Linked DNA regions of Mus musculus. The protein of the gene in region 2 binds, or shares a complex with, the protein of the main gene of each other region. Links are inferred from orthologs where the notes say so. Each region holds a gene or a part of one and is shown on either strand. Other genes may lie near its edges.

Region 1 (4,861 bases), on a different chromosome or scaffold from region 2:
ATCCTTCACATCCCATCTTCTCCAAGTCCATCTGTTAGTAATCCCTACATCACTAGCTGACGTCTAAGTTATTAATGATTCCGGATGAGCTAGAAGTCGACAAAGATTAATAAGCAAGCTAATCCTAAGGACTGTACTGGCTAGTTTTGTGTCAACTTGACACAAGCTGGAGTTATCACAGAGAAAGGAGCTTCAGTTGAGGAAATGCCTCCATGAGATCCAACTGTGGGGCATTTTCTCAATTAGTGATCAAGAGGGGAGGTCCCCTTGTGGGTGGGACCATCTCTGGGCTGGTAGTCTTGGGTTCTATAAGAAAGCAGGCTGAGCAAGCCAGGGGAAGCAAGCCAGTAAGGAACATCCCTCCATGGCCTCTGCATCAGCTCCTGCTTCCTGACCTGCTTGAGTTCCAGTCCTGATTTCCTTTGGTGATGAACAGCAGTATGGAAGTGTAAGCCAAATAAACCCTTTCCTCCCCAACTTGCTTCTTGGTCATGATGTTTGTGCAGGAATAGAAACCCTGACTAAGACAAGGACCAAAGCACTTTCAACAGCTGCCCTGAGGCACAGATCACCAAGGCTCCCTTCCCATCCTCAGTGTGTCTATCTCAGTGCCATGAACATTGCCAACGAAATAGAAGTTTAAGTCAGTTCCATAATCCCTACACTACAAAAGTAAAATAATTTCCAGAGAAAAGTTTTAATGTCTTACCATTGTTATATTATTTCCATTTAGTAGAATTTGATCTAATTTTGTAATTCTTCTTCCTTCTGGTGTAATTTCACTAAAAAGATAGATTAAATGGAGTCTGGATAAACAAGTAATCAAAGGCAGTATTAGAAACACTTTCCCTCCCTAAAAGTCCTACTGGGGTAAGGAGAATAGCTTGGTGGCAGAGCACACACACAAGGCCCTGGGTTCAATCCCTAGTGACAAAGCTGTTATTCTTACACATGATTCAATGTGAACGCATATAATTACAGTAAATATATACAGAATACAAACTGCCCATTGGATAATACTCATGTAAATATAATTCACCATAAAGCTTGTTCACACTAATTTCTTACAAATTCAGGAATAATATGAAGATAATAATCCTTTAACTGGACCTCACAAACACCAGTAAATAACGTTTCAGTATTAAGGTATTTTCCAACAAGTAATTTTTTTTATATCGATCATACTAAAGCTGCTATGGAGGTTTAAAGGAGAATGGCCTCCACTTGGTCCTCTGTTGGCAAACTGGAAATGATTAGGAGGTGTGGCCTTTTTTGGAGGAGGTGTATCACCCTGTTAGGCTTTGAGATTCCAAAAACCTAAATTATACCCACTTAGTGCGCTCGCGTTCTCTATTTACTTCTCTCTCTCTCTCTCTCTCTCTCTCTCTCTCTCTCTCTTGGTTATTATCTAACATATAAGCTCTTAGCTAGGACAGTCAGGGACTCTAACCATCTGAAACTGTAAGCAAGCCCCCAGTTAAACGCATTCTTCCATAAGATACCTTTGTCATGCTGTCTCTTCACATTAATAGAAAAAAGTAATCAAGGCACCATCTTTAATTAAAAAGAGATTTCCTCCCCTCCTCTCAAATTTTTTTAATTTTTTAAATACTACTCACAATTCTGTGACATCTTCCAACACCATATCTGAATTTAATGTTAAGAAAATAAATAAGGTTTATTCAGGTATATGTTTTTGTTTGGTTTAAAATATGTTCAACACTATGATAGTGCAAATTCAAAAGGTTTGTTGTTGGCAAGAGCCCTATCAACTGTCAGCAAACACACCTCTTAAAATACTACCAAGTTCCTGGAAAACAAAATTATTCTTAATGTAATAACCAGAAATTCTTCGGTTGTCTATAGTTCTTTCTTATATTAATACATCTTTAGAAACCTACACCATTCCCGCTTTTAAAAAGGATACTGACAAAGTCATCAAATCCTAGAAGTGTCCCGACAATTTCTTTATCACTCTTCATCACAATGTGAATTCTTGACCCTATACATTTGTCCACAAGCTCTGTGGAAGGAAAAGGGTAATTTTACCTACTTATTAGATCGACCAACATTTGAATGCCTACTTCACTTATTATTTTTTATCATTAAAGATAAGCAAAAACATTCAGTTTTTTGCTATTTATTTATTTATTTACTTACTTTTATTAATCATTCCATCTGTTTACATCTCAAATGATATTCCCCCTTCCTGGTTACCCCTCCACAACACCCCTCCCATATCTACCTTCTCCCCACTCCCCAATTGCTTCTATGAGGGTGCTCCCCCACCCACCCACCCACTCCAGCATTCTCCTTATGCTGTGGCATCAAACTCCACAGGATCAAGAGCCTCCCCTCCCAATGATGTCAAAAAAGGCCATACTCTCCTACATATGTATCTGGAACCATTCGGTAATTTTACATCTTACACAAATCTCTGTTTAATCGTTAGCACAAATGTTTGCCTTAGCTTTCACTTAACTCTTTATTTGCAATTAATAGGACTGTGATTTTTATTTAGATTATTTGATTAATGTATGAAAACACACACCATGAGGTGGGTGGAGACCATAACTGTTTTTCTTCATCAGTGTTTGTACCGATAAACAATATCTAACACTGCAAAAACTTTCAATCACAGACACATTCACTAAGCTCACCAGCCCCAAAACATGACAAGGGAGAAGCATTATTACAGACACCGGCTTTCCCGTCACTCCTTCTCTCACTTAACCTTAACTCTCTGTGCTCCTGGGCCAACCTGTTCATCTCAGCATCTTAGAATTGCTCAGCACGATGCGTGCCGGTGTGCGATCTTGAAAGCAATGGCTGTAATTCAAGTTCATTATTCAACAGTTCTCTGGCACTGCGCGGGAATTGCTTGTTGAATTAATGAACGACGGGGCTAGTTTCCAGATTTCTATTGTAAGATTCATTGTATGCCGTGGCGCACTCCTTACCCAAGCCAATACAGGGTCTACCTGATCTGGAGACCAAGAAGGCCAAGCTGAGAACTGGGACTGCGCGACTCATGACATCTTACTGGCGAGCTCAAAAAGGCCGAGCACGTCCTTCACTAAGTGGGACCCTCACCGACCACCGACAGGCAAAACGGTCTGTCTGTCTGCCCAGTGACGCCAAGGACCGGACAGCCGGGCCCGGAGGGGCGGTGGCCCAGCCTCGGCCCCCAGCGTGGAATTGCAGCAACCCGACCGCTCCCCAAACAAGACTTTTACCTAGTGGCAGGAGTTGGGACGGGTTCGTGGTCGCGTTAGCCGCCATGGCCACGCCGGAAGTGGCTAAGGACACCGGCGCAGACTTTAAAATTGCGCGCTTCCGCCCTTTTCCACAGCTGGTTCAGACAAGACTAATCCAAAGCCGATCTTGAGATCCAGAGGATCCCAATGGATCGCAGACAGATTCGATAGAGAGGTTCGGATCTCTATCCCTGCCACCAACCCAACAGGCACCTATGGTACCCCCAAGTTTTGCTAAACTTCAGAGATAATTTGCCGCCGGAAGACCAGCATACGAGATCTCTGAGTCGGTTAATTTTCCTCTAGAAGGTTGCATTTCAAGCCTGTATCTTTCTTCAGAGCAATAAAATCAATTTATATTTCCTACTATAAACTCGTTCTGCATGCTCCTCAACAACTACTCATTTTTTTTTTTTTAAGGAATCTGGTACTTTTAAGGCCAGAGGACTGAAAGTCTATAAAGCAGCATTTTTCACAAGCTTTTTTTTTTTTAGAAAAAACAAACAAACAAACAAACAAACAAAAAACTTCTACTATTATTTAATTTCTTCTTGTCGTTTCTAGGTGTCTGGTTTATTACAGGCATTAAAGTCACTATCAGTTTTCAATTTGCAGGCAACCGTAAGATGTCACTCTGTATGTTGACTCCATCATGTTTGGAAACCTTGCTATCACACTTCTGCATTGGAAAAGATTAAAAAGCCCCCTTTTAACGTGGAGTGGCCAGTAAACCCAACACTTGAGAGACAAAAGGAGGCATCTGTTGCAGGCATGGCCCTCTTAGACCCCGACACAAAATAAGAAATTAAAACTAACAAGGGCTAGCTGGTAGCTTGGCTATAGGGTACTTTCCTAGCATTCATGAGGCCCGGAGTTTGGGCCCTAGTGTTTTTTGTTTGTTCGTTTACGTGCTTGTTTTGTTGTTGTTGTTGTTGTTGTTGTTGTTGTTAAAGCAGATAAATACTTTGCCTTTGTCCATCTCATGTGACAGACTTAAAACCAAACAGCCTAAATATGAGAGATGAGCACCCTTCATTCCTCCATTGAAAAAACATATCAGTGGAATATTGTTTGACTAGCAGCTTGCTGGATACATAAAACAATGTTCAGAAAAGTCTTCAACCAAGAGAGTGGGAAGGAGGACAAATAGTACATTTCATGTGCACAGCACTATGGGATTTAATATGGAAAGCAATGAAAACTCAGCTCCATTCTCAATTCCAAGCCAGTGGTGGCTTTTTTTCCTCCACGCCCAATCTATAAGTCTTACAGATCTACTAGGTCCCAAGGCAATTACAAACACACTTGACAGCCATCCTTTTGAGGTAAGAGTCAGGATTAAGTTCCTTGTGCTTAAAACAAGTTAAAACACTGTCCCTTGGCCACAGCTTGAAGAACTGAGGAGTTGTTGGGAGTCTTCTCACACAGTGACTAAGAATGGGTAAGCAGAGAAGAGGCAAAAGCCGCATTCTGAGAAAAGGAAACATTGTGTGCAGTGGATGTGTGTCACTCCAAGCTTCTCTTGTTGATCTTGTCTTTAAACCATACCCATTTCTCCCACATTGAGCATAAAACACTTGCCTTTTCAAATCCATTTCCTGAGT
Region 2 (5,040 bases):
GACAAAGGAACAAATACACAGTAAAGCTAGTCTAGGACTCTAAGCAAGATAAGCCAAGCAGCTGGTGCCACTCTGTCACCCTTCAGACTGTCCCTTACACCTTAGAGTGAGGAACCTGGTACAGAGAAGGGATTGTAAGATTCACTTCACAGTAAAACCAACCCCCAAACAACTGAGACTGCAGGAGGGGGTGTCACTTTTCAGGGTTACACAGCAACTAAGTATAGGACTTAGATTTAGATCACAGGGTAAAAGGCTGCACTGGGCATGGAAGAGGGTGCTGTGGAGCCCACTGGTCTCCATCTGTGTCTTTAAGGAGCAACCGATCACTTAGAGCAGAAATGGAGCCCTCTTCTCAGAGCCCCCCCAAAACAGAGCCAACCAGCAGCCAGCCTGGAAGACGCCCCTCCCCAACCCTGGACCCAGACTACAGTCCCCGAGAGAAAAATTAAACGCTTTATGGCCAAGTACAGTGTGAGACTTCTGAGGGGAGTTGGCTGTGGGTCGGAGATAGGTAGCGGAAGTGGGTGGCAGAGGTTGAGCTGTTTCCCCCACGCCCTGGAAACCCAGGCTACACCTCATTCTCAACAAGCCGTCTCTCTACTGAGGCGTGGGGCACCGGAAAGGAATCCGCTGAGACTTTGCCATGCTTTCCCCAACATGCCAGGGGACCTAGAAATCTTAGTGAACAGGACCCTGCCTCTGAAGGCGCTCAGTCTCGGGGTGGACCTTCAAAGGTGCCCATCCCCCACACCAAACCACACCAGCGAGGTGCTACACCGGAAGTCCAGAGAGGAGCAACGACTATCAGATGGGAGTGTGTGAACCCTTAACTTAAACCCTTAACCCTTTACTCAACCCAAAACAAAGCAACCAAACTAAACAAACAATCAAACAAACAGAAACCCAGGAAAAGTCGAGAAAAGCATGTAATCCCAGCCTGGGCTACATAGTTAACAGGCTAGACAGAACGGGAAAAACAAAAAAAGGAGGGAAAGCATATACATGCACAAATGTGCCGAATTTGCACTCAAGCCTGGAGTGGCCATGCACACGAGAGGCTGACAGAGGGACTGTGGTGGGTTTGAAGACAGCCAGGGGTAAGTAACAAGTACTAGACCTACCTTTACAAAAAAAGAAAACTAGAAACAAACCATCACTCAGTATCACCAGGTTTATAGGCACAAATTCAAAGAGCACTCCAAAGCCTAGTTAAAAAGGTCCAATCCAGCTGGGCGGTGGTGGCGCACGCCTTTAATCCCAGCACCTGGGAGGCAGAGGCAGGCGGATTTCTGAGTTCGAGGCCAGCCTGGTCTACAGAGTGAGTTCCAGGACAGAGAAAACCCCTGTCTAAAAAATAATAATAAAACGGTCCAATCCATCAGTCTAGGGGACATAGGATGACGGTAGCGTTCGCTAAAAGAAAGAGTATTTTCCAACTCTGGATGGAGCCCCGGCACTAGGGAGCTTGCTTGGACAGTCACTGGAGAGGGGGCTGCCCACAGAGAGACTTGAGGCACAGAGCACCACGAAGCGATCAGAGTGGAAGGGGAAGGAGGCAGGGGAAACTTCTAGCTCCGGAGATGATGACCCAGTACCATGCTAAAGTTCTTACGGCTCTACGACTACCATCTTAGATGGCGCGAGAGGGTGGACGGCGCAGTCTCTACAGGTGCGCGTGCGCAGAGACCAGTAGCTGGCAGGCGGGACCGCGCACCCTCAATCAGTCCCTCCCGTGAGCCTTTGGAGGTTCCCAGGCAGGCCCCGGAAACAGCCCCTCTTAGTTTCCGGCAACAGGAACGGGGCGGTCGCGCGACCCGGAAGCGTTCCCATTTCGCGTCGTCTGGGCTAGGGTAGCGGCCCGGCTCCAGGCGGACGCAATAATCATGGGGTCGTCAAAGAAGCACCGTGGCGAGAAGGAGGCGGCCGGGACGACGGCTGCGGCCGGGACTGGGGGCACGACCGAGCAGCCGCCACGGCATCGCGAGCATAAGAAACACAAGCACCGGAGCAGCGGCGGCGGCAGCAGCGGCGGCGAACGACGGAAGCGGAGCCGGGAGCGTGGGAGTGAGCGCGGGAGCGGGCGGCGTGGGGCGGAAGCCGAGGCCCGCAGCGGCGCGCACGGTCGCGAACGAAGCCAAGCGGAGCCCTCGGAGCGGCGCGTGAAGCGGGAGAAACGCGATGACGGCTACGAGGCCGGTGAGGGCGGGGCCCGGGGGCGGGGCAGGGTCTTGGGATGCCCAGGACGGAGGGTACGGGAGGACCTCGAGGGCCATCTGCCTCTCGGGTTAAAGACGTCCTCCGGGTGTTTGGGGTTAAACGTTGACGTCTCCACGTTAAGCTTTAAGAAGACAGGAGTCTTCCTGCCTTCCCTGTCTTCCTGGCACTTCACAGCAATGCATTGGGTGGGTGAATGAGGTGGGACGAGCGTGTACAGACAATCGACCAATAGCTCATAGCGGAGACATGAAGCAGTAAGATAGGCTTGGGTCTGAACCAGCGCTGTAAGCCCTGTTGAGAAGTTTGGGCTTTGTTATGAGGATGGTAGGGAGCCAAGGATTTGAGTAAGCAAGTGACTTGAATTGCATGATATTTTATGAAGATCAGTGGGTTGAGAGCTTGTCAAACGTAGGACCAGAGATCAAGAGATCGGGAGGGAGGTCCAAGCAACCAGGTGAGGGCTAATAGTATGCATGTTTCTCTATGCAGCGGGCCGGAGAGAAGTGGACAGATTGAATAGGAATTCGGTCTGATTGGCCTGGTGAATGGAGGTGTCATCTGTTGGAACTGAGTTTAGAAGAGAAGCAGATTTGAGGCAGGGGAGAATGACACAGTTTTGGGAGAACTTTATGTTTGGTGTATATGGGAAACCTTACAGTTTAAGTGAGATAGAGTGACTTTGGGCTGGTGTGTATTCAGGAAACCAAAGAAGTGCCTTAGAACATGTGGAATGAGAACGAGAGTCAGGCATAGAACCTGCTAAATTCCAGTAGTTCAGTTGTGGGCAGAGGAACATGTTGAGGAGCATAAATAGTAGCCAGTGGCAGGAACCCACAGTCTGCCCATAGGATCTATGCAAAGAGAGCATTGCTGAAGTGTGATCCACCACAGGACATTAATCTTTTAAACAAAGGATTGTTTTTATGTTAATGCATTTGAGTATTTTACCCTCATGTGCCCGTGCCAGCAGAGGTCAGAAGAAGGCATCGGATCCCCTGGAACTGAATTAGATGGCTGTGAGTTGCCATATGGATTCTGAGAACCAAATTTGGGTCCTCTGTAAGAACAGCAAGTGCTCTTATCCCCTGAGACATCTCTCCAGTCTCCAGATCAGAAATTTTCTTGAAAGTAATCTGCTAGTTGGAAAAAGGGAGACTTGGGACTTGACAGTTCCCACAGAAAGTGGAGTGGTGCCAAGGCAGAGAAAGGGACTGTTGGGTTAAAGAAGAGAGTGACTGCAGTGGTTGAATACGGCAGAGATTTTTGAGAAGATGCCCTCCTGGTAGGGCCTGGTTGGGGGAGCTAAATTTGATGCATCTTCCTCTGTATGGTGTTTGTTGAAGTTCTCTTCTGTTTGTGGGATGGGTAGAGCAGGTCCAGGGTGCATGCCTGCTTATTTATGTTCTTGTTTATGTACATGTACCTGTTCAGCAGCCATGGATGAGCTGGGTTACCCTGAAAGGGGGGCTGGAAATGAAAAGGACTGGGTGCGAGAGAAGGATGAAGCCAAGACAAACGTTTCTGCACGGCTCAAAGTTCAATAGTCAGCCCTGCATTTATATAGGGAGAGCCCGCAGATTTGTTTCTGCTGGACTGAGCTGCAAAGTGAGCTCAGTGGGCAGTCTGCTCCTGTGGGAAGTTGACTCCACCTGGGTCTGGGTCGTTACTGTAGCCTGCTCAAGGCTGGGGGAAGGGCACGTGTATACATCGGGCGTGGAACACTGCTGTGGGCAGAAAGGGCCAGAAATGGTGAGCAGTGCTGTGCAGTTGAAGGCAGAGCCTTAACTCTGGTTAGTAATTGAACAGGGCTTCATGGTGGTTCGAACTCAGAAGTCCACCTGCGTCTGCCTCCCAAGTGCTGGGATTAAAGGCGTGCCCAGCCCACTGCCCGGCTCTTGATTCTTGATAGAATTTTATCGGGGCTGGTGAGATGGCTCAGTGGGTAAGAGCACCCGACTGTTCTTCCGAAGGTCTGAAGTTCAAATCCCAGCAACCACATGGTGGCTCACAACCATCCGTAATGAGATCTGACTCCCTCTTCTGGAGTGTCTGAAGACAACTACAGTGTACTTACATATAATAAAAATAAATAAATTTAAAAAAAATAAAAATTAAAAAAAAAAAAAAAAAGAATTTTATCATAACAAGAGCAGAAAGGACAGTGGAGGCTGAAGGTACAATATGGAGTGCCACAGTGAGGGATGCAGAAAGTTGGGCTGTTGGGTGAGAAGGGAAGGTATTGGAAGAGGCAGTCCTGCCAGCCCAGGGCCTGGGTAGGAGCTGTCAGGGAGCTCGGGAAAAGCTCCTGTCCTTTACCCAGGTGCTGGTGAGGGGCCCTTGTCTTTGACCTTGCGGCTGGACCAGCAGTGTTGCTTCCTGGTCCTGGTTCATGGGTCCCTTAAGCCGTTCTCCTTATTGTTCTAGCTGCCAGCTCCAAAGCCAGCTCTGGCGATGCCTCATCCCTCAGCATTGAGGAGACCAAGTAAGTGCCAGCTCCTTAGAGTCTGCTTTCCTCAGAGACAGGGTGCACCTAGGGCAGCCTGCAGAAAGCTTTTCATCATGGGTGGAGCCAGTTGGAAGGGCCAGATGAGTCAGGTAGCCAACCAGAGGAGCGCTAAGAACCAGGAGGAAGGAGGATCCCCTGATGTGGATGAGGGCCTGTGCCTGGTGTCCTCAGGACTGCCAGGTCTCACCTTGTTCTCCCCTCCTGCCTATCCACTAATGCACTTGAAGCCCCACTTCTCAGACCCTAATACTTCTATCTCTTGTCTTCAGTAAACTCCGAGCAAAGTTGGGGCTGAAGCCCTTGGAGGTCAATGC

The links. Proteins that work in one complex are often made in the same cells at the same time.
Region 1: Sart1 (region 2) and Lsm5 share a complex: the UniProt entries of both Homo sapiens proteins name them as parts of the U4/U6-U5 tri-snRNP complex. The link is inferred for Mus musculus from reciprocal best matches to the Homo sapiens genes SART1 and LSM5.

Annotation. Positions count from the first base shown.
Region 1 is NC_000072.6:56,701,387-56,706,247, forward strand, and holds the start of Lsm5 (U6 snRNA-associated Sm-like protein LSm5), read right to left. Parts: upstream 3,314-4,861; 5' UTR 3,283-3,313; coding exon 3,237-3,282; intron 2,024-3,236; coding exon 1,928-2,023; intron 1,648-1,927; coding exon 1,620-1,647; intron 783-1,619; coding exon 710-782; intron 1-709. UniProt on the Homo sapiens protein: Plays a role in pre-mRNA splicing as component of the U4/U6-U5 tri-snRNP complex that is involved in spliceosome assembly, and as component of the precatalytic spliceosome (spliceosome B complex).
Region 2 is NC_000085.6:5,385,474-5,390,513, reverse strand, and holds the start of Sart1 (U4/U6.U5 tri-snRNP-associated protein 1), read left to right. Parts: upstream 1-1,810; 5' UTR 1,811-1,886; coding exon 1,887-2,199; intron 2,200-4,644; coding exon 4,645-4,702; intron 4,703-4,995; coding exon 4,996-5,040. Other genes in the region: Tsga10ip (testis-specific protein 10-interacting protein), read left to right, coding at 317-452. UniProt on the Homo sapiens protein: Plays a role in mRNA splicing as a component of the U4/U6-U5 tri-snRNP, one of the building blocks of the spliceosome. May also bind to DNA.